2 linked regions of the Drosophila melanogaster genome follow. The protein of the gene in region 1 interacts with the protein of each later gene in a pairwise test. Each region holds a gene or a part of one and is shown on either strand. Other genes may lie near its edges.

Region 1 (16,143 bases):
TCTGGAGGACATTCGTCGAGCCACCAACAACGACTCCAGACTTGTAGCCCGAATGAAAGAGTTGTCGGACCAGTTTTTTGAATTCTTAGCAGCCGCCCCAGATAGACCCGATGGGCCTTTTACCAGCATTATACACTGTGACTTCTGGATAAATAATATAATGTTTCGTTACGGTTAGTATCACTAGCACAAATGATCGCCCTAGCACGTAATAACATTCAATAATACGATTTTACATAAAAAGAGCGGAAAACTAATTATTTCTTTGGAATTGTTAGCATAACAAAATTTCTAAAATATAAGAAACAAGTACTATTCTTTGAAATCTTTAGGGCCCACTGGAACACCCGTCGAGCTGAAAATTATCGACTTTCAGACGGCACAGTACGATTCAGTGGTGCATGACATAATCTCGTTTTTGCTATCAAGCGTTGATACGGCTATCTTGGAGGTAGAGTTCGAACACATGTTAGAGGCCTACTATGAGGCTTTTGAGCGTTGTCTGCGACGTGTGGGAGCTAAATTGGAGGTTCACACTTTTAAAGAGTAAGATAAATGATCAATATATAACTGAGTACGAATAGGTCGGATTTTCGCAGGTTCCGGCTGGAAGTGAAGAGGGTGGCGTACATACAAGTTCCCCACGCAATCTTTATGACGCGCTTTATATTGGCTGACAGCGCGCTCATCGGCGATTCAGAGGCTGAGGAACGCCCCAAGCTTACGGACGTGCTGAAGAATACGGGATCGGAGCGTATTAGCCGCAAATTAAGCCAAATTCTGAACTTGGCCGAAAAGTTTGACATATTGTACTAGGGCAATAAATTGATACGAAAACGAGATTTGTAATTGACTAATGGCAATTTGATGGGGAACCCTAATTATTTTATTATTATCTCAGCTGGTTTAGAAAATAAACGTGAATACAGTAGTAGTCAGTTTTGGGAATCATGAGCGCTACCTGGGTAACGATTCTCAGCATCTCGACTTGTGTGGTTCTGCTGAAGCTCAGTGAGATCAGGAGCAAGGAGGTCTGTATTCAAGAAAGGTCTCCGGATGTCTCAAACTAATATTGAATAACCGAATAGAGCTGTTATTATGTGACCTTCACGTATGCCAATTGGACGGATGACCGACCTCGGTTTGTTGTGAACATGACCTTCTCGAATCAGACTGGCATCGGCTCAGTAACCACCATTAACGAGGAGATTGCCTCACCGGTGTCTCGCATCCTCATACTTCAGCACTCCGGTCGGGGTAAGCCTCGCACCATATACAACGCCTCCACCAAACTGTGCGACCTGCAGAATGTCTTCAATTCCGTACCGCTTTTTAAGCCAGCCAAGGACAACATGCTCAAGCAAAGTAACTACACGCTGAGCTGTCCTCTGGTCAAAGGCACATACGTCATGATCAACATGCGCGTAAGCCCCAAAAACCCACTTCTGAGCCTTCTCTACCAACCGAAACAAACGTTCTCCGTGAGTGGCGGCTTGTTTGAAGAACTTTCACGTGGCCGCAGACTAAGGGCGCTGTCCACCTACTTCATGACTGGAAAGGTTGTGAAAAAGTACTGTGGATCCAATGAATAAAGATCGACCGAAATAAATCAGCACAAGTAAATCGAACAAGAAAAAATTCAACGTTTTGCAGTAATAATACAAATTTATTATTTTTCCTACTATTTCTATGGCAGCTATATATCAGATAAAGTAGTCTGATACGGCTTGTGTTCAACCTGCAATAGAGAGAAGACATTTGGAATATCTTCTGGAAGATAGCACTATGAGAATATTTTATGCAGAAACGTACAGACGGACATCGACTCAGCTGTTGATCAATAATATATATACTTTACACTTTATACCTCTGAATATAATTTCCACAAACTGTTAAAGTGATCAAAAAAATACGAGAATTCTACATATCAGTGTAGTATACTTTACCAACAGGTGTTTGTTTTGTGGCATACTAACGGGCATTTATATTTACCCTTGCAGAAGGTATATTAACTTCAGGCACAAGTTTTTTTTACAGATGGAAAAGTAAAAGGCGCAGCCTTTGCACTGTTCACCGAAGTCATCAGCTATAACATAATGTACGTTACAAACAAGAGATGCATATATATATATATATATATTTATATATCTATATAGCTTTTTCCTTTTGCATTTTGTAATTTTTTGGAGTCTAAGAATACGTGCAATAATAGTTAAATCTCTTTGGGTTAATTATTGGAATTCAATTAAATATCTGCTTCATAAGTTTAATAAACTTACAAAGTAGGAACTACACTGTTGTAATAAATGTAACATAAATAATAATGTAACACATATATTACAACTAAAATGTGTGCTTATGATATTATTAAAATATTAAATTATTGCATTGCACTTTACATCCCTTTCAAAATTGTTATGCAATTGTTAAAGGGAAATTACTTGTAATAACTTTTTCCTTAAATTAAGTTTTCCAAATTAATTATTGTTAATTATCTGTTAAAACAGGCCCGGCCTAAATGGGGAATTTGTGTTGACAAGGTTTTACTAGGTCTTCCCAAATATGTAATTTCGGACTCGCTAATGACCAATAAAATGGGTGTAGGGAGATGGACATCGGTTGAACGAACTCGAATTGCCTGCACGGCATGAAACAAGCAGTTGCCCCGTAATGTTATATATTTTTATGTAAACAGAAAATACGTTCTCTTAAATTGTCTGGATAATATGCAAAGAAAACACATACATATGTACAGTTAATTTTATCATTTAAGTCCAATGAGGTCTGGGTAAACAACGCCCAGTAAAATTCTGCCGGCTTATCGAAAAGCTCTTATCAAACGACTTTCTCAAAACAAAGTTTTTTTTAATACATATATTATCTCTGCGACTCTCATCCATTCAGACTGAATATTGCTAATGGATCCTAATCTCATTATCAACTAAAAGCGGGACGCTTTACTGATAACTTAGAAACATAATCGCCGTTCTGACACAAACCAATTAACAATAAAATGAAATTAAAGTAATGCGCATGAATGTGTGCCACAGAAGACGACCTTTGCCTGACCATATGCCCGTCATCGGTTTGGCTACGGTGATTACCCCAAGAATCGGGGGATTGAACTTTGTCTGATGCGATGCGCCAAAACGCACGGAACAGATCGCAGATCACTTGGTAGACGCGTGTGGGCCCATGACGCAAATATTGGGAATCGCGTGTGGTGGCAGAGAAAGTAAAGTGGAGGTGTTCTAAAAAAAAAAAGCGGCATAAAATGGGGGGAGGAAGATCTTTGGGCTCTTTGGAAAACTAAGACAGAACACGCAGTCCGACCCTGCTGTTGGGTGATTCAGTTCCAGACATCTATATGCTCTGCAAATTAAATATAGGCGCTCATCACGACCACAACATTGCGAATGGCGTGAGCAGTGGGAAATTAGATAAATAGGCCAGATAAAAGACAGCACTTGTTGGCTGCCTGTGTTTGCGCAAGAACCCCACCGTATCGACACCCGCCATAGATAAAATGGAAAAATCGGTTGCGTAGTAAACTATTTGCGGCCGCAAATCTTTTCTTTTTCTTTTCATTCCAAAATGACGCTACGTGACCGATTAATTGCTGGACATCGGTCACAGGACATAGAATTATAGGATTATATTATATATATTATGTATCTGCTTGTACCTGACAGGTTTTATAATTCTCCAGAGTGCGACCACATATTTTGATCGAGCAATCATTTACGATTGCGCGGACTGAAAGTAGCGCTATAAAACATAATCTCAACAAGCAGTTGGTGCGCTCCAAAAGAAACATCACATAAAAATAAACAGCACCCCCAGCAACGATTATTTCACCAGCAGCTCCACAACAGATTCGCTCTGTTTTGTTACCCGTTTATTGCCGCTTGTCACATTACGTACTGCATTGAGTCCGTAAATCCGCTGTTATCAGTGCTTTTTCCGACCACTCCCATTGCAAGGCGAGCGAATGTCTTGACCCAGTTAAAGGCTCTGAAAATGGTAATTTGCAATTGGCCAGACAAGAGTCGATCAGTAGATGAGTTTACTGTGACAGGCCGTTCAGGAATCACGCTCCACAATCGTGCCCAACTTTAAGGTAATTTAAATAAAATTCGCAGGGGTCTGGGTAAAATTATTTCATCTCTTTATATGGAATTGATTTGATCAATTATGGTTCAACATTATTTTATTTTCGCAACCGCAGCCAGTATGATTTATTGCCCTTTGATAACCCTACCCAGGCGGAGGTATTTTTCTGACCGAGTCAGAAGTAAAAGGCACGGTACAAAAGATAATGGTAAACGCTGGACAGGCTTTTGCAGCCGGAAGATTAACTTCGTGGCCTTACTGTCTTATCAGTTTGCTTGGACTTTAACCGAGTGAACTGACGAACTGAAGATTTTATAGGAAGGTGAGGAGAGTAAGTGAAGCTTATATTTCTATCCAGTCGATCGTTGCCTACATTTATCTAGAGCAAAAATATATTATTTTGATCACTTGATTCAGTGATATATCAATATCATTTTGTTATCAATAGTTTCGAAATCAGGTGTCCAGCTTATCATTCCGTTTTATGCAAATCGCCTGGTCTCAGGCAGCATAACTGGATCTCCTCAGGCCTGCATTGTATGATGTTGACATCTTTGAACGTGTTTCATGCATACCAATGAACCTGCTTCAATTAATTAATAATCTGGTTTTTGGGCGACGGTGCGGAACTATTGAGTTCTGTGGCCATAACAGGCTAGTGCCTTGATTCGATTGTTTATGTGATTTTAAAATATATTATAGTATCTACATTGTGCCCACAAATGCTGCAATGGAAAACGGGTATATTAGATAGTCGAATTGGAATTGGGCACAGGAATGCGTTCGAACATTTAAAGATGAGTTAACGAAGCTATAGATGGTCTGACTACGGATGATTCCGTGCCTCTTTCGGCTGGCTGGCTTGGTCGAACTATCTCTGTGTATTTAACACTGTTTTGTATAAACTGGATGGCCTTATCTCTCCCTCTTAACCTTATTACATTTGCATACCCCGTAATCCGTAATCCGCTCCCAGCAGAGCCAAACAAACACCGCTAACTGCACCTCAGAATGTCAACAATTGCGAGAACGGACATGCAAAGTGCAGTAAAAAAAGCACACTCAATTTTAGATGCTCGAAGACATACTAGATACATACATATGTATGTATATTAAATATCAGTTTAGTAGTACTGCAGTATCTGCTATTTTAATTTAATTCAAATTTAAGATTTATTTTGTAAGTTTAAGTATAATAACCACACTTAATAGCCCCCCTTTGAAGCGATTGAGTTCGCGGTTATACTCAATCAATATAAGATTGCAGGGAAATGCAATTGCCTGCCATCCCAGAGTGCAGTACCCCTGCCCTATCAGCTGGACGCAGTATATTGCCATTGGGAATATACGAGTATATGGAAGCATTGTCTCCTTCGCAGCCATATCTTTCATCCAAGCATACAAACATACATATATGTACATATATACGAGGGTGTGTGTCAGTTGAGCGAAAAACACACATATTCTGAACGGAAACCCTAAGATTTAGTCTTTGAATACTTTCAGTGTCAGGCAGCTGTTTGTGGTGGAAAACTTTCCATTAAAAACAAGGTCTTGCCTTAGCTAGTTTTTGTGCCCTCATGTCACTCTTATTTACAAGCAAGCTGTTCTATATTTTAAAACTTTGATTTTCACAGTCATTGCAACAACAGTTGTTCAAAAGCTCGCCAGAAAAGAGAAAATAAAATAGTCTGTAGTAATGTGTTTTGCTTTGTACGCAGTTCTGCTTTTACTCAAAATGTATTTATGTATCTCAATGGAATTTTTAATTTTGCTAGTGCTAGTATTTAGACATTTATATTATAACAGCATATAGTAAAATGATGTAAAATGCTACCGAACAAAGTGAAGCGACAGATCCGTAAAGTGAGATACATATGTACCAATATATATACATAAATTAATTTCTTAGTATTTTATTTTTAACAACTTCTAATCAACAATTGGTTTTTATAAACATATTTCACATATATGTGTATTCGTGCTCATGGATATGAATGATTAATATGCATATCGTCCGATTTCAGTGATATTTCCTTCTTAAATTTACATTTAGAAACTCTTAGGAGTTATTAAAAAAGTGCGTTCAAGAAGTTAAGGGCAAAAAATGGCGTTGACCGAATTCAACGTCGGATCCCAAAATGTTTGTTTGATCTAAAAGGTACAAAAAATTAACGTAGAGTACAATGTTTTTTATTATTTAGATTAAAGCAATGATAGATATACGTAGTTTGTGAGATATATGGCAAAGTATTCATGAGGCCCCATCGCTTTAAGGAAATTTCGCTTTAGCTTAGTTCTTCTTGCCACCCACCCACGTTCTTAAATTCTAAGCGCACGCTTTTCGTGCCTCGGTCTCCTGTCTTTTTTGCACAAGCAAACTAAATTTTGCTTCAGTTCAATGTAAATATAACCAAATGATCGGATACGCTTCACAGTTCCATAAAACATAATGTACAAAAAATTAAACATCTGTTGCACCGCTCACAGCCTACTCGTTGAGCAGGCAGGTGCGAACAATGGCGTTGCACACGGCGTAGGGATCACAGTTGGAGCTTGGCCGCCGGTCTTCGAGGTATCCTTTGCCGGCCGTCGCAACGCCACGCGGCACTCGCACACTTACGGCCCGGTTGGCCACGCCCCAAGAAAACTTATCGATGCTAGAAGTCTCAAGACGTCCCACGAGGCGCCGTTCATTGTCTTTGCCTTCCTTGGGGTCGTATGCCTTGATGTGCCGCTCGTGGCGCTTGCTCAGCTTCTCGATAGCTTCCTCGATGGCCTTGATTCCGCCATCAGCACGCATCTCCTTTGTGGAAAAGTTGGTATGCGCGCCGGCTCCGTTCCACTGACCCTCCATCGGTTTGGGGTCAAAGGTGACCACTACGCCATACTCCTCAGCTATGCGCTGCAAAATATATCGCGACACCCATAAATCGTCACATGCCTTAATCCCGGCTGGACCAATTTGGAACTCCCACTGCGCGGGCATTACCTCGGCATTGGTGCCGGCGAAGTCGATCCCAGCATACAGGCAGGCCACGACGTGGGCCTCCACAAGATCGCGAGCGTACACACGGTCAGCTCCCACGCCGCAGTAGTAAGGACCTTGTGGGGCTGGGAAACCGTTCTCCGGCCAGCCGAAGGGACGTCCGTCCACGTCTAATAAAGTGTATTCTTGCTCAATGCCGAACCAGGGCTCCTGATCGCTAATTAGGTCAATGGCTGCCTGGAACGCGGCACGCTTGTTGGACGCCGTCGGCTTGCCGTCGGCGCTGTAGGTGTCGCACAGGACAATTACGTCGTTCTTTCCCGGCTTAAAGGGATCGCGATATATGGCGCGTGGCTTGAGCGTGGTGTCCGAGTTCTCGCCATGGGCCTGGTAGGTGGAACTGCCGTCGTACTGCCAATCCGGCAAGTCCTCCACGGAGCTGGGTACTTTGTCCAAAACGCGATCCTTGAGGCGAATGTTCTCGCCGGTACCGTCGATCCATAAGTAAGTAGCCTGCACTCGATTGGCCGGCGTTTCCAGGTTGCGGTACCTCTGCAGAATGCTCTTGTCTAGAGCCGTGTTGGGGGAGTTGGCCAAGAACTGGGAGCGGGTGGTATTGCCAGTACGCAGCAGACGCAGCTGCTGTGTTGCGGGAGCCACCAGCTCCTTCTTCAGGAAGAGTCCTGCCACGCGTAGTGCCATCTTGGTTCTTGGATTGGAGTCGGCGAGAAGGACAAAAGGACACGGTTAGTTATGTATTGCTGGCGAATGTGAGGACGTGCGCAGGAAGGGCAAGGGCTGGTGGCATGCTGGCTCACTCTGCTTTTCTCATGAATTTTTATGTAATTATTTTCCTTGCACTTGATTTTCCGAGGTAGTTAAAAAAGGGGTACTTTTCCAGTGAAGACGCAGTCTTCCGCACAACTTACCGTGCTCTGCTCGTTTTTCCACTTTACAGTTATATGATTGGTTAAACAGTCGCTGGTTGGACAGGTCTTTTGGTAATTTTGGATTGCGGTACTTTCGGTTTTCGTTTCTGTTTCTGTCAGGGGCTGCGGAGCGACTGTTGGGGACACCCGACCAATTCGATGTTTGGAAGTCTTGTGAGCACAGTTAGCGCGACAGCATTCACTTTTTTCGTTGTTTCGTCGCGCGCCTCGGGTTTTTCTTTATCTCGTTTGCGACGCCGACGCACAGACAAAGGCCTCCCAGAGAGCATTCAAAACTGGCGGTATATGAGCACCCGCTCCGCAGCCACTAGCCAGAGAGACCTGCAATGCGACCCATAATGTTTATGTTTCGAGGCTAGTCGGGTAGCCAAAAGCCCCGTTACTGAGCACACGCTATAAGCTCATTTATGCATTTCGAGCACTTGTAGCTTGCATTAGCGCCAAATGAAAAACAAAAGTTTTTAGTAATTCTCATCGTAGAACACCTGCACCATTTATGTGCATGGCCCACTTTAGAACCCACAAATTAAGTTCTACATTTTTGATAAATTCATTTCAGAAACTATGATAGGTTACGCAGTATGCAGATGCATTTCAGCAGTACTACTTATTACAACACTCTCTCATTTCTCGTAATCTCTTCGTAAAAACCTCCACCATTTTGCTCTTTGGCTGATTGTTTTGAATACACGCCTGGTACAAAGTTCACTATATACAATTAAATATAGCGAATGCAAGGAGCACCGTATCAGCTGTGTCTATTCGTGTTTGGCATTTGATAAACTCTGTGGTGGACCGCATTAATAGAGCCTTAAATGAAGCAATAATGATTTGTTTATAATATGTAAATTCGGTACTAAATGTTCCTATTCCTGGCTTGGGTCTCGCATACGACGTTCTGAATATTAAAAATATATCTAACTAAAACTATAACTAAAATAGCAGTATAAGTACACAGTGTAGCCAACTTTTAGGCTGAGTATGTAAAACGTTGAAATTTAAATGCTATGTAAATTCTGATCTAAATATCCTGTGTGGAGGATATTCAATATTTATTTGTTACAGATTATACTTAGTCCTAGGCCGTCGTTCATCAAGCCACGCATATTGGCCCACTCCCTCCTACATAATGGCATGTTGTCGCACAAAAGCCGAGACCACAGATATGTCTTCCAATTATTTGTTGGTTGCCTCGTAACTTAGAGGAAAGTACTGAAGAACGGATGAGTATATTTCAGATAGGATTAATGTTAAAATAAAGCTAAAACTCTGTTTCTGGCGGGAAAGCAAGCTTTTTTGGACGGCTCATATTGGGAGAGCTTCAGGTGGGCATAACAAAGAAAACAAGGAAAACAGAGGAAACTTTTATGTGCCAATGTGTGAGTGCCACTTTTCACCATAGACCCGAGTAATTCCCATATAGCCGTCTACGCTTTTCCAGTTACGTGGCATCGTTTCCACTAGTTGGCCGGCTTCAGTTTTCGCAAGAAACTACGAAAGTTTCCCTCCAGCAGAGTGTACATATTTTTACACCCGATGTGCAACAACCAAATACAAAATCGCTAATTCTTATATTCGGTTTGGGTTTCGACTGCCTATTCGTTATTGCCTGCGACTTAGCTTTCGCGAAGGCAACTTGTTGCTTCAAAGCGATGGTTTCAGTAGCTGTTGAGTTACGGCACCATGAACCAGTATAGTTGGAAGCAGTTTTTGGAAAATAATAATCTGTAAGTAGCCGAATCAGGCGGGTCTCAAGCAAAATGCATCACATTTAGTTGGCACATCTAATATACCACACCCCCCGTTTATAAAACGAAATCAACAAGTGTAGAACAACCGGTTTGCAATTCCTGCCAATTGTTGACATCTCCGTGACTTGATTAGCCACAAGCTTTAAAAAATTTCCAAGCCAATAGTCATCGGGAAATTGCCAGTGGAAATACATTATTCTTTCATATCTTAAGGCGACTGCATAACTTTAGTGCTGTATGCTGATTTGAACCCAGAAACCGAACTAGGAATAATATCTCAAATTGCGGTTTGTACTGGGAAAATACCTTTTGTTGGTCAATTCATTACGTTTTTACTTGCCCCAATATATACAATAACCGGTTTAACTAAACGTTATTAGCACTCCCAGTGCAATCCGTAAATCCCAATTAGATTGGGCAAAATATAGACCGGAGCATCGTAAAAGCATGCCAACAAGGAGCCTTACAGCAATGTCTACATCTAACTGTTGCGTTCAGATATACCACAAAACTGTTTCTGGGGCAAAGTTGTAAGGTCGTCCCACGCCATAGCCACAAATGACCTCATGCCACATTAAATGTAGGGAAAAGCAAAATGTAGGTAAAATGTCGCGTAAGCAAACCATTAAAAAGCGTACTAGAGCTCCTTTAAACGAATTACGGCACCGATTAACTTATTTTTACGTAAAACACGAAATGACAAAGTACAACCCCTTATCGGCTCATTGAAAACTCCTATCAGCTGTAGATTGACACCCATAGATAAGCCCCTCCAATAACTCATGAGTCATGAGCGAGGCCGTGAACTTTTAACTTAGATTGAATAAACCAATGGCCAGAACCTTAGCTTCCAGGACTAACTACTATAAAAGGCTGATAAACCAATCAAAGTACAAGACTGGGAATCAAAGACCTTCCTCAAGGTAAAGACTTTCCTCGAAATTAGTTAGTGGTATTTTATTTCGAGATACATGGGTCCGCCGATCGAGGAATATTCACAGATTATAGGCTTTTCCCAAATTCATTCAAGACTTAGTAGAAGAATGCGCTGGCTTTTGAGAGAGAGCCAACCCGCAGTGCCTCTCAATCGCACTAGAATCCCCACCAGAAGTAGTGCTTCTATTGTCGTCCCACTCTAACCACAGACGTAAAGCATTGGGGCTGTGAGAGTATGCGATGGCACTCTCTGTCAGCGGTTGCCTAAATTTCTGCCTTTGTTCCACTGCCGCAATTGCTTATTTCAGTTGCGATCGCGGCGCGAGCGAGTGAAGTCCTAATATTTGAGAAGCGGCAGTACCGTTTCGAGCAGACGGGTGGAAAATTTCTCTCACCGGACCAGACGGTGGTGGAATCGAATCGAGAACGCGAACGAAAAACCAAACGGGAACGAAGGGCAGCAGGGGCTGCAGTATTGCTGTCAGTGCTAAAGTTTACAAAGAATACACACACAACACAGTGGTTGCATTTTGCTTTTTAACCCCTGGTTGATTGATTGACAAGATGACTAAGAACGATAATGCAAATCTGTTGAACGACAACAGACTGGGCACAGCCGGAGCGGGTCAGTTGAAAGCTCAAATAGTACCCGCCCAGCCAAAGACGCTCCAGCACCTCCCCAAGCGACCAGCGGTGGACCTGGCCTTTCACAACCTGACGTACCGCGTCAAGGAGGGGAACCGGAGCAGTAAGTACTTCCACTGTCTAGTACCTCTCTCTATATCAAGCTGCACTCCTCGGCAGCACGAGAGCGGGATCTTGAACCTCCCGCGCCTGCTCTCACCTCACCCTAGAGCTTTTGTTTCCGGTCCTGGCTAGTAGTACTCCGCACATGTGTTATTGAGCTAGTTCTCCGGAGTACTCTGTCGCTATTACGCACTTCCCTGGCTTTAGCGGGTTTTACTTGTTTGCTTTAGCTGCGCTTCGCATTGTGTTGGTTTCTGGTTTCTTTGTTCTTTTAGCAGCTGTAACGCAGTATCAACACTCAGACTGTGAGCAACGGAGAACTTCGGGTTGTGGCTGAGTAGATATGTAACCCGTCGTCTCTTCGTCAAATTCATTTCCCAGTTTCACAAGGGCGGCTCTGGCCAAAGTTCACTAGGTTTCACCGCGATAAGCACTGCTAAATACATCAAAATCATCAGCCAGTAGCCGCGGAGTAACTGCCCACACAAGCTATTTCGCTATTGGGACAGTCAACAACTTGGTTCGATGCCATAGCATCTAAAAGGCGAGGAGCCATGTACTCGCACTTTTCTCACGTAGCAGTGTATCTACTTTAAAGCATGGGTGGAGCACAATGGGGTTTTTTTTTGGATCTACTGCTTTTATGGAAAACAATTTGTGATGACGTGCCAGAGGGAGAGGTATTGTTTTTATACCCTTTCCTCGTAGACTGCCCCTGATCCGCCAAAAAAAAAAGGATTATGAAATTGAGTAGCGGGTATGTTATAGTTGAGGAAGTCAAGACTGATGGCGGCGGTATGTGCTTTCTGTGTTAGCAGAGCGATTAGGATTTAGTCACTGCCAATAGCTAGCTTTAGTCGGGTGTGGTGGTGAAAACACATTTGTGGTAATATGCAGTGCCCCGGTGGGGCCGTTCAGAATAAGTAATGATGGCCGAGCGATAATATTCCATTAGTTTGGTATGCGAACGTGCACAACTGCTTTATTCTTATATTTATAAAAGCTCATTCATGAAACCCACTCCCCTCGTTGTCGCATTGGATGGCTGGCCTCACGGCGGACATAGTCCGTGAATCCCGTCTAAGATTGAGGGACTGTCAAAGCCTGTTTTTAAGCCCAAGGCCAGCCAAGTGCAAAACTAATTGGAGAAGGCAGCAGCCTGAACTTTGCACACCTCAAAGGTCGGCCATCCGACTCAATTAAGTCGTTCAGAATAAGCGAATATACACAGATTTATTTACACTGCCCTGTGAGCGTGCCCCACCTAGCCGAAAGATTTGCAGATGGCACGCCGCCTTCTGGGGTGTGCTAAGTTATGTGCCAAAATAATGTATACAATATAAGATGGAAGTGAGGCAACAGATGGAAATTGCGCTGATTTTGGCTAACTATGCCACTTAAAGTAAACACAATTAATGAAGTAAGTGCCTGCTAACGTTTTCGGCTGCTATATTAAAACAGATATAAATAAATTCTGAAAGCGACTTTCTGTGCCCTTGTTGCAAGTTTGGCGTAACCTTTTCTTAGGAGCCCTGAATGGTTCCACTTGTTGTCCAATCCGGTCATAAACATCAAAGCTACGATTTGGCCTTAGCGCTGGACTATAGTTTTTCAAGCGTGACCCCACTTTTGGTGCTATTACATCAATTGGCAAGCAAGTAAGTTCAATGAGAGACATTGCGTACCTAGTGGTTACGACTTGCTAGTCGCTGCCTGGCAGCTGGAATTCATTACCAGCTTTTAAAGTCTACGTATTAAGTAAGTCGCCGAATAAAACATTTACAGTCCCTGCATGAGCTTAATAAATTTGAGTTTCACTTCTGAGCGGGTCACGGTACTTTACTAATCGGAGTTATGACAAACATAAAATGAATTATTTCGTAATAGTCACTTTACAGAAGCTCTATAACCAGTCATAGCTCGCTTTTGTGTCCAAAGTCGATTCAATAGTAAATACATCTTTTGATTAAGAGCCGGCAGTCGAAGAGCGTGCCCCCATGAAAACGGGTATATTAGCATTTTCCGTAGAGCAGATGGCTTGCTGTACAAAACTATTGGTTTAAACTTTAAAGGTATGCCATGATTATAAGGCACTTCCGCATCTGAACAGTTCCATTTAGGCAGCATCTGCGAATATACGTCAGAATAAGTCAAACTATTTTTAAACAAGCGTTACTAAAGTGCAATTGGCTTTTTACGAATTTTAGCCGCTTTGTTTATTAGTTGTCCGTTGTTGATGTTGGATGTTTAATAAAATTTGAGTAATGGACGCGGTTGTTTGACAACTGTTGGAATTCTGTCGATAATAGCATAAGTCATACTATATATGGAGGTGGACGAAGAAAAACGTGATGGGGCCATTGACCGTGCTATGTGTTTCGATTGTCAGACTTTGCAGATTTTGTTTACCTATCGGCTCTACACTTGCTCGTCCAAAAGCCAATGCAATCAATATCTTTCTTGATAGCTGCGGCGGCACTTAGATATTGACGTAAGACATATCAAAACGCGAACTATTTTTAGTCCCAACAAGAGATTGGCCCAAACACTAATTTTGTGTGTTTTTATTACAGATGCCAAGACCATTCTGAAGGGCGTCAGTGGACGCCTCCGGTCTGGAGAACTCACCGCCATAATGGGACCATCGGGTGCTGGCAAGAGTACGCTGCTCAACATTTTGTCTGGCTACAAGTAGGTTTCGCAGGGCCTGATTATTTGCATTCACGTCAAGTAGCTGCTGATTCCGACACTGAATCTGACCTTGCGCCAGCGCACGAGAATACGGCGAAACGAGTTCGAAAATGTTTATATTCAGCCCTGTATTATCATCAGAAATAATTGCGACTTGATAACCACTCTGCCGCTTTTGGTGCTTAAACAGCCGACCTATTCTCGCCTTGCGTTCTTCGTATTTCTGTATTTTATGTGGGATACACACTTACATATGTACCTATTCTAAGCGCAAAGACTTTCCTTCTACAGCTCAATCTTTATTTATTTATTGTAAACCTTAAATTTTGCTCTATTGCATAATAATCATAAACCGTTTCATTACCCTTTCATGCATTAAATTTTGTTACCAGGAGTGGTCAACCGATCACCCTGAATCGATACGAGCAGGAAATCTATGATACATAGATACAAGTGTACTTGTGTGTAATCGACTGCTTTGCTATTTCCTCACACACATTTAGCAATGTCGCCAAGTTTTATTGGTTTGAATATTTGAGGGAGAATCAGCTACTACTTTGCTGGACTTCGGACTTAGGTTGCCCGATCGCGTGCACATGTATGCTTAGTATATCAAATAAAGGTCCGCATACACACAAACGTAGATATGCACAATAAAATACACGCTAGATTACTCGAAATTGGCTTTGCCCAGTGATAATAGGTCTAGTAGACGCACAAAAAAAAAAGGTTGGGCCTTTTTAGACTATGGTACAGGAATGTAATTTAGATGATACTCATACTTACAATAGCCCTCGGTTCTAAAATCCAAATTACCAAATTACTAATCTATTGCACTTGCAGAACTTCGAGCATCGAAGGCAGCGTTACGATGAACGGTGCCGAGCGCAACCTAAGCGCATTTCGCAAGCTTTCTGCCTACATCATGCAGGACAATCAGCTTCACGGAAACCTTACCGTCCAGGAAGCAATGACTGTGGCAACGAATCTGAAGCTCAGCAAGAAGTTTTCGAAGCCCGAGAAGCATTCAATGGCAAGTTGAAAAAATTAAAAAAGCCCGAGAGGAAGAATTTGATAACTTTAAAGATTAATCATAAGTAGCCAATCCAGTAGACAATTTGATTCGACAGTCTTGTGTATTGGGTTTTATCTTAAACGTGCTAATAACCTGCTTAACACCCTCTTCCAGATCGATGACATTTTGCTTACTCTCAGCCTGAGCGAGCACCGATATACGATGACTCGAAATTTGTCCGGCGGTCAGAAAAAGCGGCTCTCGATTGCCCTTGAACTGGTCAGCAATCCTCCCATAATGTTCTTTGACGAACCCACATCCGGCCTGGACAGCTCTACCTGTTTTCAGTGCATTCATCTGCTAAAAATGCTAGCTGCTGGCGGACGCACAGTCATATGCACCATCCATCAACCGTCCGCTCGTCTCTTCGAGATGTTCGACCAGCTGTACACTCTCGCAGATGGACAGTGCGTTTATCAAGGCAGTACAAAGCAACTGGTGCCCTTCTTGTCTACGCTAAACCTGGAGTGCCCCAGTTACCACAATCCGGCAAGCTACGTGATTGAGGTGTCCTGCGGGGAGCACGGAGATCATACGCGCAAACTGGTCGATGCTATTGACAACGGCAAGCGGGACGTTCGTTCATCAGCAGACTATGCCGGCCTCAAGGCTCGCAACGATTTGGTAAAGGTGCAAAACCTGAAGGCTATTCTCGATAAGAACGACGCTTCAAGTGTCAGCGGTCGCAAGTACGAGGACAATTTGACCTTGAACAACGGTTTGCTCAACGGCATGGTCAATGATATTGTGAAGGAGGGCAACGTTAGCTCTGCCTTGGTCACTACCAATGAAAGGGGAGATGCCATGATCGATGTGGAGAAGTCCGTAAACTGCACCACTGCCTTGCTTACGGAGGAGATAACATCACCAGAGCGATATCCAACATCGCAG
Region 2 (17,081 bases), on another chromosome or scaffold:
ATTGGCAGCTATACCCGGCAAGGTGTGCACCCTGGATAGACGTTTGCGCATGAAGGCATCGCGACCAAGGTCGTTGGACCTCTCAAACTGGTCGGTGGACTCCAAGTCCTCCAGTCTGTATACATCGTCGGGCAGCGAAGAGAGCATGGGCATCCGGCACTTTGGCGGACGTTCTGTGTCCCGCAACAGCAGCAGTGCCAGCCACAAGACATCCGGCACAGGCAGTGATCTGGGCAACATATCAGAGAACGGCCTCATGACCACGGCGGACATCCATCACCATCAGCAGCAGCAACAGCAGCTGAATAGCTCCGCCAAGCCAGATGAGATGAGCCGACTCGGCGCAGGGAACTCGGGACTGGACAAGCCAGCCGCCGCGGTGGCCACTTTAAAGCGAAAACAGAAGCAGAACTCCAAGCAGCAGCAGCAACAGAACGCCGACGGACCAAGGACAGTGATCACCCTGATGGGCGGACGCGGCTACTGGCGCCAGATGTGGTACAACGGGGCGGGTGGTTCGCCCAGCCATAAGAACAGCAGCTCCGGCGGCGGCGGAGGCAGTGGCTCCGGATTCAGTGGCCAAACAATGCAGTCGGGTAATCCCAGCTGCTCACCGCTGACGGCCAACTCCAATGACGCCCACATCGTTGTCTGGGAGAAGAAGTTATAATCGCAGGAGCTGGTGTGCTGCTGCACCCTTCAGCAGCATCCCCACCAGCACCATCCACCGCTAACCGAGCTGTGGCGCCGCGTGGGCGAGCAGCATCAGCAGCACCAGCAGCTGCAGCAGGCGCAGCGTCGTGGCCGTGGACGGGTCCGGTTCCGGGGATCCTTTATTCAGCGGGATCGCAGTGCCGGCAGCGATGGAGGAAGCGGTTACGGATCAGGCGGATTGTCAGGTGCTGGCGGATCGGGGGGCATGTTGGGTGCCAGTCTGAAGCGACTGACCAAGCTAAAGCGCGGCGGCAGCCTCAAGGAGTTCTAGATTCGCGTGTACATTGTTTTTCGAAATTTAGTTTGTAGCACATAGACTTACGTTTAGGCTCAAAAACCGGCGGCCACCTAAATCACTTGATTTCTTTTGCGCTTGTCGTAAGCCGGAATATCGAATATATTTATTAGCGCCCTGTTTACGATTCCAATCCGAATCGGAGAACCATTTAGCCCCAAAGCTCCAGTGTTTGCTAAACAAAATATTTTCAAATGTACAGATCTTTGGATAAACTGTACTGATTTTATTTTTCCCATTTCAAAACTATCTTCTTGTTGTAGAACCGTATATACATATGGTTTATAAATTTCATCTATTCGCTAAACTTTAATGTTGTTGTAATATTTTGCAAAACCATCATTTTCATGGAGGTTTCCGTGTAGGAAAACGCTTTCGTTTTGATCATTTCCAATAATTTTGGTATCGAAGTTGAACATCGTTAATTTCTTAGTTAATCACATATAACTGCACTTTTTCAATATGAATGCTTAAAATCTGCTAGCTTTCGGGAAAAGCTGAGTTTGAATCAGATTTGGAACCTGTAGTGGGCACAGGGGTGTATATATAGCGAATGTTTCTGAAGAAACCTAGTGTTTAGTCAAGTGTTTTCTCAAACTTGAGCAGCCAACTATCTCTTTTTGTTCTCGATTCTTGCGTTAGAATGTGAAACTTAGCCCTAGGGAAATGTTTTTTTTTTTTCGTATGTAGTTCATAACTGAATATCCAAATATACAAGTTTTTTTTTTTCGTTAGTTCTGTAAGCATACTATGTTACATAGGATATAAACTAGATGATAAGCGATGAAGCACACACACAAGAGAGCGGCCAAGCCAACAAGCTAGGGGGAAATGATGTTGTCTGTACAATAAGAGATAAAGCAAAACAATAATGCATTGTTTAGTTATCCGGGAAACTGTCGAAGGAGCAGGACTTGTGGATGGAGTGCGACATGGTAATGCAAATGGTTATTTGGCCCATTCTACGACCATGTGCAGCACTTCTTATCGGTTTTTCTCAAGCTTTTCGAAGCGAAAACTCTGAGGCAGCTGGCAGCACTTTCCTTATGTATGTATTATAACGAAATTAATATTTAACGTACTTCCCCTTTATGGATAAACCCCATTTGTAGTACTCTAATGCCTGTATTTGTGAACATTTACAACAAGCAAACAAGAAATAAAAAACAAGTGTTTTTTTGTCTGTCAAGTAAACTTAAATATACAAAGGTAATGAAGCGAACAAGGAATATCTTATATACACACAAAAACATACTTATATACGATTTACATTTATGAAATATACATGTGCGTGTGTGCAACATGAATATTTAGCTAAAAATAATAAAAAAAAAAAAACAAAATAACAGAATGTTTTATCGAAGATATTTTTTGTGAACGATATCTTTTGGATACACATATAGAAGTCAGGCATAATGCAATTATGTAACTTTTTATATCATTGTGCATATTTACACACACACACACACACACATACGCGTTAACGCACTCATCGACATATATGAAAATAATATATTTACCTATATATCACACATATTTACGGGTTCCCCGGGAAACCCAAATGTACATGTACTTGGATGGCATATTATTCGGCATCGTCTGTGAATTATCTATCCACAGCGAGCCAGTTGCTTTGTCGGTGTTATACAACAAAAAAAAATTAAAACAAGAGCATTGTATGTATTCAAGAACAAAGAAAATGTATTAAAATATAAAAAAAATATATATATTATGCGTTTTTATTTGGTCTTTGAAGTCGTTAGGTTCGATTTCATTATTACATATTTGGCGATTGTTTGAAAAGCGCGGCTATTGCTTTAAAAATATGCAGCATAATTTTGGGGCGTTCCTGTAATAAAGTTTGACAGTCACTGTTAAATCTTTGGTTGACCATACAGTTTTACAGCCTCAAAAACGGAAGACCAACAATGTAAATTTAATTATGCTGTTTCATGATACTGACGAATTACTATCAAGACTTTATTATTAATTCAAAAGATAACCAATAAAAAAATATAAAAAAAATAAATATAAATACAATATTTTCGAATGACTTTTTTATAATCGTTTAAATTAACGATCATTCTAACTACTCAATTGATTTCCAAAACTACTTAATTATGTTTATATTTTCTGATTTTTATAAGTGGAAGACTTTGGAATGCAAATTTTAAAACACGTCCATTGAGATATGAAATTTCGTATTTAGGCATTCATTTCGTTGTTGTGGGGAAGAAAGTCTTGTTTTATTCTGAGAATTCCTTAACTGGACCAAGCTCACCCAAAATTTACAATCGTTTATTGACCTCTTTAAAATAATATTTTTTTATATAATATTATATTTGACTGCTAATCGATGGGAAAATTTTTTATCGAATTTAACAACATATGGCATTTGATATTAGGACAACTATTTTTATTGTTGTGTTTTTATTGTCACAAAATTTAGTGGTATTTTTCATAAATAATTTTTTCACAACATTTTATTGCCAAAAATCCTAAATATTTTATTTTGCTCATAGCCCTATTAGAACTAATAACTTGCAATTTAAGAATGGTATGTATTTAAACTTGATACAATTAGCAATTTATTTAAGCAATAATTTAAGCCGGAAGCTCACTTTCAGCTTGTTGATTTTTTATGCACAGTTAAGCTTTAGTTGCATCTATGCACTTTAAATAACCTCAAATGACAATGCACATTGAAGGGCCAAAAAGCGAAAGTTTGTAATGCATTTATAATATTGTAGCTAAAAAGGAAATACCTTACCAAGTATTGGATGCATTTAAAATGGCAGTGCGGTGTTCCCTAGAGATTGCGTAAGTTTACGCTAAAGTTGAAGCCCAAATTCAAACCCTGCGTTGCAAAAGAGCTTAAAGTTTGTCAATTTAGCTTATCTTGTCGTTGTGTCGAAAGCTTGAAGGATGTTCTGAGCCAGGATACCAAGCAATTGGAATCCGCTGAAAGCTCCTACCCGTCAATTGACCCACATATTTCATTTCAGTTATATATTTGAGTCTGGTCGTTAGTTTTGCGTAAGGGCCAGAGAAAAAACTCGCCGAGAAAGACTCGCAGGCGTGCCAAATTGATGCTATCAGTAATGAATAATAATGCCCAATAAGCGAGTCGGCTGATAATGACGAGATGGCCCATTACATAAACGAAAGCACATTGCACCGCAGCTCCCAGCCAGTCCAGCTTATTAGCGTTAATTGTTGGCGACACTTTTATTTCCACTTCCATTTTCAATTTCATTTTCACATCTATTTCCATTTTGCTTTATTCCGCCGCCCGCCTTTGAATCGAAATAATGATTCGAACTTGGCAAGTGTCTGTCCCCCTTAACGCTTAACGAGATTGCAGTTCGGCTGACTCTCCTCCGCTGGCCTTTGGTCATCGGCCATTGGCCATTGGCCATCGGACACCGGCCACCGGCTGATAAATGAGTCTGGGCCAGACATTATGCAATATTGGGGCCCTAAGGCGATTGGGACCGGTACCCGAAATAGCCACCGAAATACGCTGCCATTCAAATGCAGTGATGCCCCAATAGTTTGAAATATCTCTTTCATAAATATCTCTTTTATAAACATTAATGATTTGTTAATATAATATCATAGCTTATGCCAAAAATCATAGAAATATTTTGTTGTTCAGATGCAATGCAAACAAAGAGGTTTTCAAATTTGTTAATTTATCTTCTTGCAACGTATTTCACTTCTTGAAAACAGATACAATTTTCCGTGTAGTTCGTTATTGTTGTTAAAAGAAAGGACTTTGCAGTGCCAGAGATTGTTATAAAAGGGTTAAAAAAGCCCAATTTGCTGAAATAGAACCATCAAATGGGAATCGCAACAATCGAATACAAAATGAAATGAAATGAAACAGGACGTGTTGCCCAAAGGACTGGTTTATTTGCTTGTTGATGCATTCGAAGAATGCCATTTTGGGGAAAAGGATGAACCAGGGAAGAGAATAAACTAGTGACATCCACAACGGATGCGGCAATCGGATCGATAAATCAGGCTTGTTTATGGCAACAGCAGCGGCCATAACCGTAACTCCCGCCGCCGGCAATGGTGCGGTGCCCAGTTCGAAAAACGAGTGGAGTGGAGTCGAGTCGAGTGGAGGGTTTCGGTTTGTCCATGGGGCCATGACCTGCCTCAAGTGCTTTGCGTAACAACAACAACACCACGCAGCAGCAGCAGCAGCAACAACAAATGCGGCAGGGAGTGTGGAATTTTGTTGTTTTTGGCTTTCCCAGCCAGTCACGATCGCCGCAATTTTCTTGTCACTGTCACCCGAAATACGACAAAAAAACAAAAACCGCTCGTCGCACGCAACAAAGCAAAGCAGCAACAGCAGCAACATCGGCTTAAAAGACAAATAAACAAAGCGGCTGCCACAGTAAAAACTGCAACTGCACGAACAGCAGCAGTAACAGTAACAGAAACAGTAACAACAATAGTAAAGAGGAATACAAAAAAAAAAAAAAAATGGTTGCAGCAGCAACAACAGAAATTGGCGATTCGCCGCTGCTGATAAGAACTAAATCGTCTGAGATCAATGCGAATATGGAATACCCTAATCAGGGAGTTAGGATATGTTTAAACAACTATGGATTTTTAAATAAAAATAATAATATTTTTTAAAAAACAAACCATGCTGCCAAAAAAATTCAAGTCGCAAAGTGAAATAAATGCAAATCATAAGAAAAGTTTTAAATTAAACCAAATCACAAATAAAATAGGATCATAAACTTAATAATACTAAGAATATATATTATTGGGTTATATACATAATTATTATAAAGAATTTATATATTATATATTTTATATTATAATTATATATTATTTAAATATCTTGTTTGTTAAATATATATAATACTTTATTTAATTTCAACTGAATATACATTTGATTATGATACTCAATATTTGTTAGAGTAGAATTATAAGGATTTTACTATTTGAAGTTCTTAAGCATATCGGAATGTACAAAGCTATTCACTGGACTGTGCTACCCTTTTTCGAGTAGTGTACAAATGGTTTGCCCGCAAAAACAGCAAACAGCCGCAACGAGCGACAATTTAACGAGGCTGCCGCGCTGCCGTTGGATATTGCTGCTGCTGCGGCTGCTGTTGCTGTTGCTGCTGCGTGGTGCTGCTGTTGCTGCGGTGTCCCCCCAGCAGCAACATTTTGGCCTCTGCCGCGCTCGCCGTCGCAGTCGCTGCCGTCGACGTCGACGTCCACTTATTCGGGCGGCGGTTTCCATTTCATTTTTAAGCTAACGCTCGTCGCGTTCAGCGTTTTAATATTTAATTGTCGTCGATCGCGAGCGGTTGTCATTGCTCCACTGGAATAATAGTTGAATTGCCATTGCCATTGGATTGCGATTGCCACGGCTGTACCGTTACCGTTAATCGTGAAGTGATCCGGGAATTCGCCAAGAGAATACCACACACAATACCATACCTGAAACGCGTTGCAGCACCCTTTTTTGTTCAGTGTTCATCAGTTTTTTGTTCAGTGTGCAGTTTGACATCCACAGTGGCCATGATTCCCTGGATTTGCCTAAGCGCGGCCATTGTGCTCATCCTGTGCCCCCTTCACACATCCTCGCGCAGCTACAGCAACGGTCTGATCTTCTACGAACTGAAGACCCACCGACCCTACCTACCGCCCACGGTCAGTGTGTCCAGGGGCCGAAATCTGGCCAGCGTCAAGTACTCCGAAAAGGGGTCCATCTGGTCCACCTTTGGCCAGCCCTGCGAGTGCAGCGGACCCACCTGCGGATGTTGCGCCGGTCTCAAGGTCGATCAGTACCGATTCGATCAGAAAGGTGAGAAAGCCCATGCTTCGTTAGCTATTAATGGGGAATAGAATATTGCAATACTTTAAATGTTTAGTAGATTATTGATTAGGAGATTAGTAATATGAAACAGTGTGACATTCGAGACATTATGAAAATTACAACCTTAGTTATAATTTCAAATTCAGAATGTTAAAAATATTTCTCATTTCTTTAGAAAGAAATGGTTTTGTATTGATGTATATTATTATGGTTTGAAACCAACAAGAACATTGATTACGAATAACATGTATTATATCTACGCGAGAAAGGATATGCATTTAGTAGATTTTTTGCACAGTGCACTTGTTATTTATTTGGTGAAGAAAACCATTAATGGGTTTTCATTTTCAGCATGCTATTTAGCCTTAATATCTTAATATACACTAATGGGCACTAGGTTAGTAATCGCCGTAGGATCAATCCGTCGGCCATATGCTTATGCATAAATTGGGATCTTTGCCGTCACTTAGCCTGGTCGGAATCGTGGCTCCTGGCCTGCGGGTGGTGGCCACACATATTTGGCTGCGATTTCGGCTGGATTCCAGGCCGATTTCCTTGGCCAAGAAACCGATCTTGGCCGCGGGTTGGCGGCGCATGCCGGAGACTACAATGCGATCGGTGGTTTGGCTTGGTTTCCATTTCGCTCCGCTTCGCTTCGTGACATGCCAGCATTTGCCAATCAAAATGCCACAAATTGTTGGCGCTTCCAGCGGTGGCCACCCCCTCATCGCCTCATCCACCATCCACCATTCAGCACCCAGCACCCACCATTTGCCTGGGATTCGTCGACAGTTTGCCACCCGCCACTTTCATTCATTGAATCGAATCGTTTCATTGTTGTGCCTATCTGTAATTTTGACTCAACGTTTTCTTTCCATTTTGCCTCTGTTTGCAGTGTGCGCCAACGTGAGCTTCGTGCCGCATCTGGAGGAGGCCCAACTGGAGGTCTTTCTTAATGGCAGGCCCTCCTCGAAATACGGAATCTCGGTGCGCAATCCGGCGCCCTTCTGCATTCCCGTCATGATGGGTGTACCGATGGCCATGTGCGTCCAAATGACCGACGTCACAGTGGTTGGGAACAACCTAAACATGTGCATGGACTTTGTGGTTCGGATGGCCACCACCGATCTCTTCGAGATGCATTTCCAGTGCATGCGAATGGGTCTGGATGGTCTGCAGTATGTGGACAAGAATGGCAAGCCCGTACTGCCGATGGGAGATGGTCAGAGCGACGATCCGGAGGAGTACGAGTACGCCGAGCTGGAGGATCAACCGGAAGAGTATCCTTATCAAGAGGATGTCAAGGAGGAGGCTCCATCCCAGGGCTATCAACCAGATAACAATCAGCAGCAGAAGAATACAACACTGACCACTGATCAGGTTAAAGAGGATGAGATGGAGAAGAATCAATCAATGGGCTATCAACCTCTCATCATAAATAATCAAGCACAGAAGATTGAGCCTCAATTAAATCTAGAAGAATTAATCTACCAACCTCAAAAGAATCAAACTCTAAGCGAGCCAGCTAAACAGGATCAGGTAGATAAGGAGGAGGATACACAAAATGAAGAATCAGGTTATCAAACACTAGGTCAAATTAAGGTTGAAGACCAAAAAGAAGAAAAGCCTGCAGAAAAGCAGCCAGAGATTCAACAGCCTTCAGAAAATACACTGGATGAAGATGAACCGATGGGCTATCAACCCCCGATGGCGATGGTTCCCCAAAAAGTTCCAGAAGAACAGCCTCTAGCTGAGGATCTTCAAGAAGAGGAGGAGAAGACTTTAGAGAGCGAGGGAGATCACCAGGAGGACGAAGAACTTGAAGATGTGGAGCCCCTGCCAATCGAAAGTGAAATGCTAATGGCCAGCGATCAGGCAGAAGAAGCACCTTTCGAAGAAGAGGCCGAAGAAATGCCAGCTGAAGACGCAAAAGAGACGGCAGCAGAGGCGGCGGAGAAAGAGAAAGAGACGGGGACGGAGTCTGAGCAAGAGACACCTGACAATGACAATGGTTATGGCGAGAGTGGCCTGAGGCCAAGTCAGGTAATTGAAACAATTACCAATTCAATAAAAGCCACTGAAGCGCCCACAACAACAACAACAACAGCCACAATAACGAAAATACCAACAACAACGACAAAAATACCGACAACAGCTACGACATTTAACAAGCCAAACATTGTTATTGATGGCACAAACAATGGGGAAAAGACAGTAGAAGCAGAGGGTGAGAAGACAGTAGAAGAGCCAGAGAAAGAGGGCGAGACATCTGAAGAAGGGGAGGCAGAAGACGACGAAGAAGACTCGACAACAGTGGCTGTTGAAATGGAAAATGATAGTGATAATGAGATAAACGTGGACGATGATGATGAGGTGGAGAAAAAAAACCGGGTGAAGGAACCCCCAAGCCAGGTGAAGAAGGAGGAGAAGAAACAGGAAGAGGGAGCGGAAGAAAAGTCCGAAGAGGGCGTGCAGAAAGAGGAGATAGAGCCGGAGAAAGAGGTGAAGGCAAGTCATGAAGAAAAGGTCAATCCAAATGACACAGCCGCTGAAGAAGATGAAGATAACGAAGAAGAAGAAGATGGGGAGGATGAAGAAGGAGAGGAAGATGAAGACGACGAGGAGGAAGAAGATGAGGAGGACGATGAAAAGGAAGAAGGCGAGGTAGACGCTGCTGAAGAATCCGCTGAAGCAGCAAAGCCCGAAGAAAGCGCTGTGAAAATTGATGAAAATGGCAATGGCTATGAAAATGCCTATGCAAATGCGAATGAAAATGCAAGTGGAAATGCATATGGAAATGCAAATGCGACGCCGGCAGCGAAGTCGTTGTCCCGACGTCGCCGTCTGCGCACCCGCCGCCTGCCGCGCCCCCTGAGGAAACACCATTAGGCCCCACTCCTTAGCTTAATTTATTGTAATTCGTAATTGTTAATGAATTGTTAATGCTAAACGTTGAAGCCTGTTAATTAATACGTATTTATTGTATTTATTGAAACCAACTCAAAGCCAAACTCAAGCGAAATAAACGTTAATTGTAATTTAATCACTGAGATTCCAAGTTAACAACAGGTATTTTTCGAGGCTTGCCTGGTTGAAATTTAAGCCACAACTCCTGGTATTTTAATATCTGTATTCGGTGGTTAAGCTGCCCTGAAGCCAAATGCAAAATCGAAAGCTGCTAATAATAGTTTTTTCACTGATCTCTACATTATTCCCATCATTTTGGCTTTGCTCCACCAGTTAAACTTACACTTTTGTTCACTGGTTTCACTTAGTATCTTGCCAAATTCCAGTTGCGTTTGCATGAAATTAGCCGTACAAAATTCAACATGTCATGGACGAGTGGCCTGTACAAGTCCTTGCTCCTTCGGAGCCAGCAATCGCTGGTGCGTCCGGATCTCGCCCTCCTGGACATCCAGATATCGAAGCGGGCCATTGAAACGATGTTCGGTCATCGAAGGGAATTGAGTTTCAATCATTCACATACCGCCGACATCATTGCCAAGAAGTGCGAAGAGCTTTTCAATGCCAACGAATTTGAGAACGCCCTAACCACGCTTTATACGGACGGACGTCCCTTTGGCGGACAGTTTGCCCACGGGCGGTTCGAGATGATCAAGCAAAGGGTGAGGGTCATTGTTAATATCTCACTGTATTTTGTTAATAGATTGCTTAAAAGAAAATAGCTTTTGAAATATCACCTTCCATTAGAGCCTCGCCGTCTTCGAAGACACCTTGGGCGAATCCCTGCGTCCCTTTATGCATCAGCACAGGGACGTCCTGGAGCAAATCAACCGACGCCAGAAGGAGCTGGCCGCCCATGTGTCCCGCCCACTTTGGAAGAAGCTGCGCGACCAACAGCAGTGCGACGTCCAGAGTATCATTATCAAGGAGCGGCCGCAGTTGACCTTACTGGAAAAGGCCCGCCGGCGGGCGAGTGAGAGTCTGTACAACCACAACTACTTGGGCCGCAGCGCCGTCGATATCGCGCTGCTGCGTCAACTGCGCAGCGACCGCAACTTCCTCGATCCCCTGAGGCTTGCCACCACGCCCCCAATGCGCAAGCTGACCAGAAGGCAGTTCACGATTGTGCGACGGCTTATGGTGAGTCCAATTCAGGGGAAAACACCACTTGGCAATTGAACTTTTTCAGGGAAAACCATCTCTGAGTCGAGAACAAAGTTTAAAGAGGGAATACTCTAAATATAATATAAATTGATTAACAGTTGCAGTTAAACAATTTGCAAACATGTCATCTATAAACATGTTTAGTAAGATTAAATGAACTTTTAAGAGAATCCTAGACTATATACTTACTTGCTTTCTAATTTTACTAAACATATTACTTTCGTGTAAATCAAGAGCTTTACTAGCATTTCCCACCACTTCTCATGAATTCACTTAGAAAATGCTTCAAGCCCGAAATCCGTTGTACAACCGGCGGTACGTGCAACAACGGCACGGTCCGATTGCGGACCAGGAGCGGCGTCGGTGGCAGGAGATGCACCTGTTCCATGCGCAGTACCAGACGCGACGCGACTGCATGCGGATGCTGCACGAGGTGCACAAGCGGCGCCGGGAGGGCGATGTGGAGAAGCTGTCCGATTACGTGGAGAACATAATGTCGGGATTCATAGAGTATAAAACCCATCGCACGCTGCCCTGGAAGTTTGAGTTCATCAACGAAGTCTACAATATCCTGGCACTGGCCTATTGCGACAAGTGCGCGGTGCCAGCCAATGTCGACTTCCTGCAGGCCCAGAATCGACCCATCTTATACCTACTGCGGACGGAGAAGCTGCACGACATGAGCGTACAGTTCGGGGGTCCCAACATCTATGTGGAGATCGAGAAGGAGGATGAGCGGCACAGCCGAATTAGGTGAGTGTAAGGGAAGCTGTATCCAAGCTTTTCGAATGTGCTCTTCAAAAACATACATTTTATTTTTTTTTATATATATATTTCAAATTTTCAGCCAGAAGCTAGAGCAACTGGAGAATCGGCTGCGTCACTCCCGCTTTGCGATCGAGCGATCCTATTTGTTGTTTGAGATCGCGCGCTGTCACTTCCAGGAGTCGCGTTTCGACAAGTGCCTCGTGGTGGCCCGCAAGGCCTTTAACGGTGGGTTACATGCCACTTAACACCTTGTGGCGCCTCCATTAACGCCCACCTTCTGCCCATTAACCCCCAGAGGCCCGCAGTTGCAATTGTCTGATCTGGCGATTCAACAGCATCTTCCTGGGCTGCCAGGTGCATGCCGTGCTCAATCGCTTCGAGAGGCTAAAGGAATCGCTGGCGAAGGCGAGTCAGTTGGCCAGCGAACTGCAGGCGCCCAAGCTGGTGGCCTATATAGCCATCTGCATCAACGTTAATAACTACGATCTGGCATTACAGCGGATCCGGCAGTCGGATGGGAACAAGCGAAAGTCCCGGAAACGAAGTCCCGTCAGCACCATCACATCGAATAGCTCGCAGGGATCAATGAGTAGCACATAGTCTAGTTATTTTATTTGCTCGACCAGTTGCTCTTAGCTCTACATTTCACTTCAACCTGATGGAATATAAAGCTAAGAGCAACAAGTTTAGAGTAATTTAGGCGCAAGTTTTTTTTTATCATTCAATATGATGATACTCTTTTTTACGAATAAATGTTGAGCAATGGTTTTAAGTCCAGTAACGATAATTTTCGAGAGAAATGCATTTCTATGATAATTTTTTCTCAATTTAGATATTTATAGATAACAAAAGCTAAAATAAAGCTAAAAACTGGTTAAATGCGAATTCTCCCACGCCAGCACTTGGAAACAAAAGTGTTGGATTTTCACAGCATTTAGCGTTGGCCCCAAATGTTGCAATGGCTAAATTAGTAAGCGAAGCGCGGGAAAAAAGAGGTAGCAAAAAATAGCCGAAAGAAAGAAAGACAATGAAAGGGGGGCCATTAAGGCCGTGAAAAACAATAACCCCCCATAATCGGGCAATATTATATAACACTTAAATGCCAGCAGCTGAAATTATTTAATTATGTTGCCTTCTTCGTCTGCCTTCCACGGCGGCGATTATACGACAATTATTACAATATTTATTTATAATTTTTAATTGCTTTTATTTTTCACATCGCTCGCGAATGCCTTTTGTTGCGGTAGTTTTTTGACTCAATTTTTTTTTTCTTGTACCTGTTTTTTGTGTAAAACTTTGCATAAGCAACTAAGCAGGGGCTGGGTTTTCAGGGGGGGGCAGCGGCTATTACTCTTCATTTGTATGCTAGCGGGAGTGTGGGTGTCCGCTTTTTTTTCATTATTTCGGTTCGCTTTTTTGCGGAAAGAAAGTTAGCTGACAAAAAAAAAAAAAAAAAAAAAAAAACTGAGCTGGACATGGGGCAGCCGCCAATTAAATGTTTTGCTTTTGCCGCTTTATCGTTTTTGGCAATAGCGCAACAAGCCATGCGAAGTGTCGTCGAAATGCGACCGAAAACAATAAATAAGCACGAAACAAGCAAAGTCGAGCAAAAAGCGAGCCAACAGCTGCATTTCAATTGAATTTCCAGGCAGTGGGTCCAATATTGTGGCTTCCATGGGGGAGAAATTGCAGCTATTAGTGGCAATCTTGTACGAAAAGTTCGATACAAGTGGTGGAATTTGAAAATTTCATCAAAGTTGCTTAACTGCGACAAGTGGTGGAGTTGCTTGTATTAACTAATATCTACATCTTAACAAAAAAATAAAACTATAAAACTATTATCCAATGCTCTATCAATTTTTCAATCATTTCAATTTGGTAAAAGTTTGTGCGCAAACCTCTTTGAAAAAATATAATTTAAATTAGTTAAAAACTAATGACAAAAGTTGTGTAACTTTACAATTACTGTTAATTACCTAATTTTCCATGCTCTTCCTAATTCCGTATACTTTCTTTGTACTGCCAGCAGCGAGCCAGTTGAGCTGCACTTGTTGCTATGTGACTTGTGACCTGCCGCCACCTCCAGCCAATTAGCCAGTACTCATACGCCCTGTTGCATGCATAAACAGCACTCCAAATCAAAGCCGAGGTTCGGGCCAAACGGACGCCAGAGGAGCAACGGGAAGGAACAATTTTCTGCGGCTTAAGCTCACACTAAAATCCACTGCAAAATAACGGAAGCGAGTTCTCCTGTTTTTACAACATTTTAAAACATAAAATTAAGCCTGAGACTAAATCCACAGTGAATTATAGTAATAGTATTGAATTATAGTATGAACATTCGGTGTTTAAATTGTTAATGCAAAATAAGTATGTTGTAAAAAAAAAGTAAGGAACATAAGTTACATCCAAATATGTCACTGATTTAAATTTTCTTAGGTGTCTATTTTGCCAGTGTATGTACATAAAAAACTCATATGCACAGGTGTGGCAAGCTTGTGCAGGTGCAAATTGAGTTCACCTGAACGTTGACTTTGTGTCAAATGATATCACACGGAGATGTAAGAAGTCACTCAACGGCAGGCGAGGGTGAAGGACCACAAGGACACTGCCGCCTGACCGCCAAATACGGCCGGACACTAGGGTAATTAGCCGGACTTTCCCTGGACAGAGTGGCGGTCAGGTGTCGACTTTATCCAAAAGACAGGACTCAAGTCGACGCCTCGAAACGGTGGTGGACGCAAAATTGGTGTAGCTTCGCGGGTAGCTTACTGTGCGAAAAATGAAATTCCAAACGTGAGTATATTCCAACTTGTTATACAAAAAAAATATAAATATAGAAATGTAATCACAATATAATATTTAAATTAATGGTTTTCGACTTGCCCACGCTCGACTTTTCTGCCCCCGTGTGTGTGTGTGTGTGTGCCCAAACAGCGGGATATCCTGCCACGACTGTGTCCGCCGCTCCCTTGCATCCTTTTTGCGGGGCACTCGCAACTCGGAGATCCGAGATCCGAGTGCTCGGAGCCGAGTTGTACGAACTGCACGGCTTCGGGTGGCAGCATCATTTCCATGTGGCTGTGGCGGCCACCAGTCGCCGGATGGGCGCCTCAGTTCGCTTTTGTGTCGCCTTGTGGCAGGTCGCCTCCGCAGTCGGCTACTTGATATTCGATACCTGGTAGCTGCGCTTCGCCGTCGCTCATACGCCCCGTTGGCCCGGTACGAGAAGCACGCACAGAACGCTAGGAAAGTGCGCCAACTTTCGGGCAAACTGAACTGAATTTGAAAGTGCGGAAGGATAGGCGTTGTCTGGCCTCTTTGGAGGTGAGCGATTGTCATACCCGTTCGATTTATTATTTATAAACAGTGCCTCCGTTTTGCGGCGAAAACACTTTGCATAGTTTAGATGGGCCAAGTCGCCAAAAGCCATTAGCATGAATCTTTCATTTCATTACACTCTATTTTTGCCCTGGTCCAGAAATACGAATTATTGCAACAAAGATTTCCACTCCACATACGGCGTTTTTACGATTTTGTGAGCCCCTCGAGAGTCTTTATCCTTGTTTTCACCAAGTCTTGTCTGAGTTATTTGAACGTTTATCCCACGCGTGGTTAAGTCCTGCCAATGCCTTTGGCTAATACCCGGATACACTTGGCATGGCCATTACTTTGTCATTTAAAAGGGGCCTAGGTTTTGTGACCACAAATCAAAACAGGGGACTTAATAACAAAACATATGAATAGCAATAAAATGGGGATCTTCGGTAATCTAGTAAAGGCTATGAAACATAAATTAACAATATTTTAAGCCACAAAGTACCATTTTAACATGTAAATATTAGTTTTGTGTTACAAAATTAGAAGGTAATGTTATAAATCTATAATATAGTATATCATTAATTTGAAATGCAGGACTTATGCATTTCACATTTCTACATTTTAATTTGCAGTAAATGCTGAAGCATACCAACATTATATTAATTATGAGAGCTTAGGGTTATTGTCTCTTACTATTAATTGGTGTACACGTTACTTGATTATATGTCAACAAATATATTCCTTTATTCAAAATGAGCAAACATACTTATTATGAGAGGTAGGAATTGCTTAATGAAAGATTAAAGGCACAATTAATGGAAAATTCTTGGTATTTTAGAGGGATAATATTGTATGAACGGCAAACAAGTGGGAGGAGGGGCTTATACTATCAATGAATGCCAGCAATAATAGTTCCATTGTCACTTTCAATAATGGGAAGGACAATTGCAGGCGGCCCACACGTCGTATACTTAATATTTATGCCACATGGCTGCATTTTCTCATATTCGCACTCACAATTGTCGGGGCTCCGTCAGCGTTTCGGTAATCAGCCAGGTGAATTGCAACGCAGCTAACAATGCACCAGCCACGCCCCCGCGGCCCATTACACCCCATCCACTCCTACTGACTGATTGGCTCCAATGCGAGATGAAAAAGCTGCATAATGTCGATCCAATCATCCGTACCAGCAAGCTAAACGTGTGTGTCAGTCGAAAGGTGGCGGGGACTTGCAGATTGGAAAATGCAGAAGGAGGGTGATCGGAAAATGCTGAAAAACGCAGGAGCAGGCGTTGCCGACATCATGAAAAATTCATGACGCATGCCAAGTGATTCAGGGCGCCACCTGTCGAAACGCATGCATAATTGAAAACTGCATTGGCATCAACTGCAAAATGGCCAACGGCAGATGGAATCTGGGCAAACAGCATCCGTATCACTAGGAAAAGCCTCTATTAAATCATGTATCGCTGCCTTTTACCAGCCCATGTACATATATCAGTTTTTGGGTAAAGGGAAAGCAAAACATAGATCAGTATTATTCTAAACAACAAAGCTGACTTAAGGACAACATTCTTAAAATATTGCCTCAAGAAAAGACAAGAGTAAAACAATATTTCACAAATTGGAGGGTACTAGCACTTCGTTTATTTCGTTCTGAAAATTTTCGTATTGAAAATAAATTAATAAAATCATGAATATCCTTACAGCAATGTGTATGCTAATTTAGGCTGACGTAAAAGCTTACTATTATTCTTTTGTAGAATAACATGAGATACTGCTCGGCTAATATACCCCAAAAGTGTTTATGTACCATGCAATTAATTTGTGCATGTTTATGTTAGTATTAAAAATGCAAACCATATTAATGTTTACATTACGAACAAAGTGATTGCAATATTTTAAGCATTTATTGCTGCATTAATTCGTGCATTCATATGTAATATGATTATTCATATTTATATATTTTATATTATCAAATCCCTTGCTCTTAGCAATCCGCGG

Evidence for each region.
Region 2: the proteins of Gs1 (region 1) and CG8568 interact in a two-hybrid assay, tested with the Drosophila melanogaster proteins (one large-scale study listed by BioGRID).

The regions. Positions count from the first base shown.
Region 1 is NT_033779.5:124,144-140,286, reverse strand, and holds Gs1 (glutamine synthetase 1), read right to left. Parts: upstream 8,211-16,143; 5' UTR 7,805-8,210; coding exon 6,605-7,804; 3' UTR 5,815-6,604; downstream 1-5,814. Other genes in the region: CG31975 (uncharacterized protein), read left to right, coding at 1-173, 333-546, 600-816; ovm (oven mitt), read left to right, coding at 951-1,031, 1,089-1,592; CG3164 (uncharacterized protein), read left to right, coding at 9,736-9,779, 11,345-11,487, 14,060-14,177, 15,021-15,210, 15,367-16,143.
Region 2 is NC_004354.4:17,441,810-17,458,890, reverse strand, and holds CG8568 (uncharacterized protein), read left to right. Parts: upstream 1-6,347; 5' UTR 6,348-6,562; coding exon 6,563-6,848; intron 6,849-7,755; coding exon 7,756-9,749; 3' UTR 9,750-9,901; downstream 9,902-17,081. Other genes in the region: CG43658 (uncharacterized protein), read left to right, coding at 1-670; p-cup (presidents-cup), read left to right, coding at 10,190-10,486, 10,572-10,964, 11,266-11,741, 11,836-11,981, 12,052-12,356.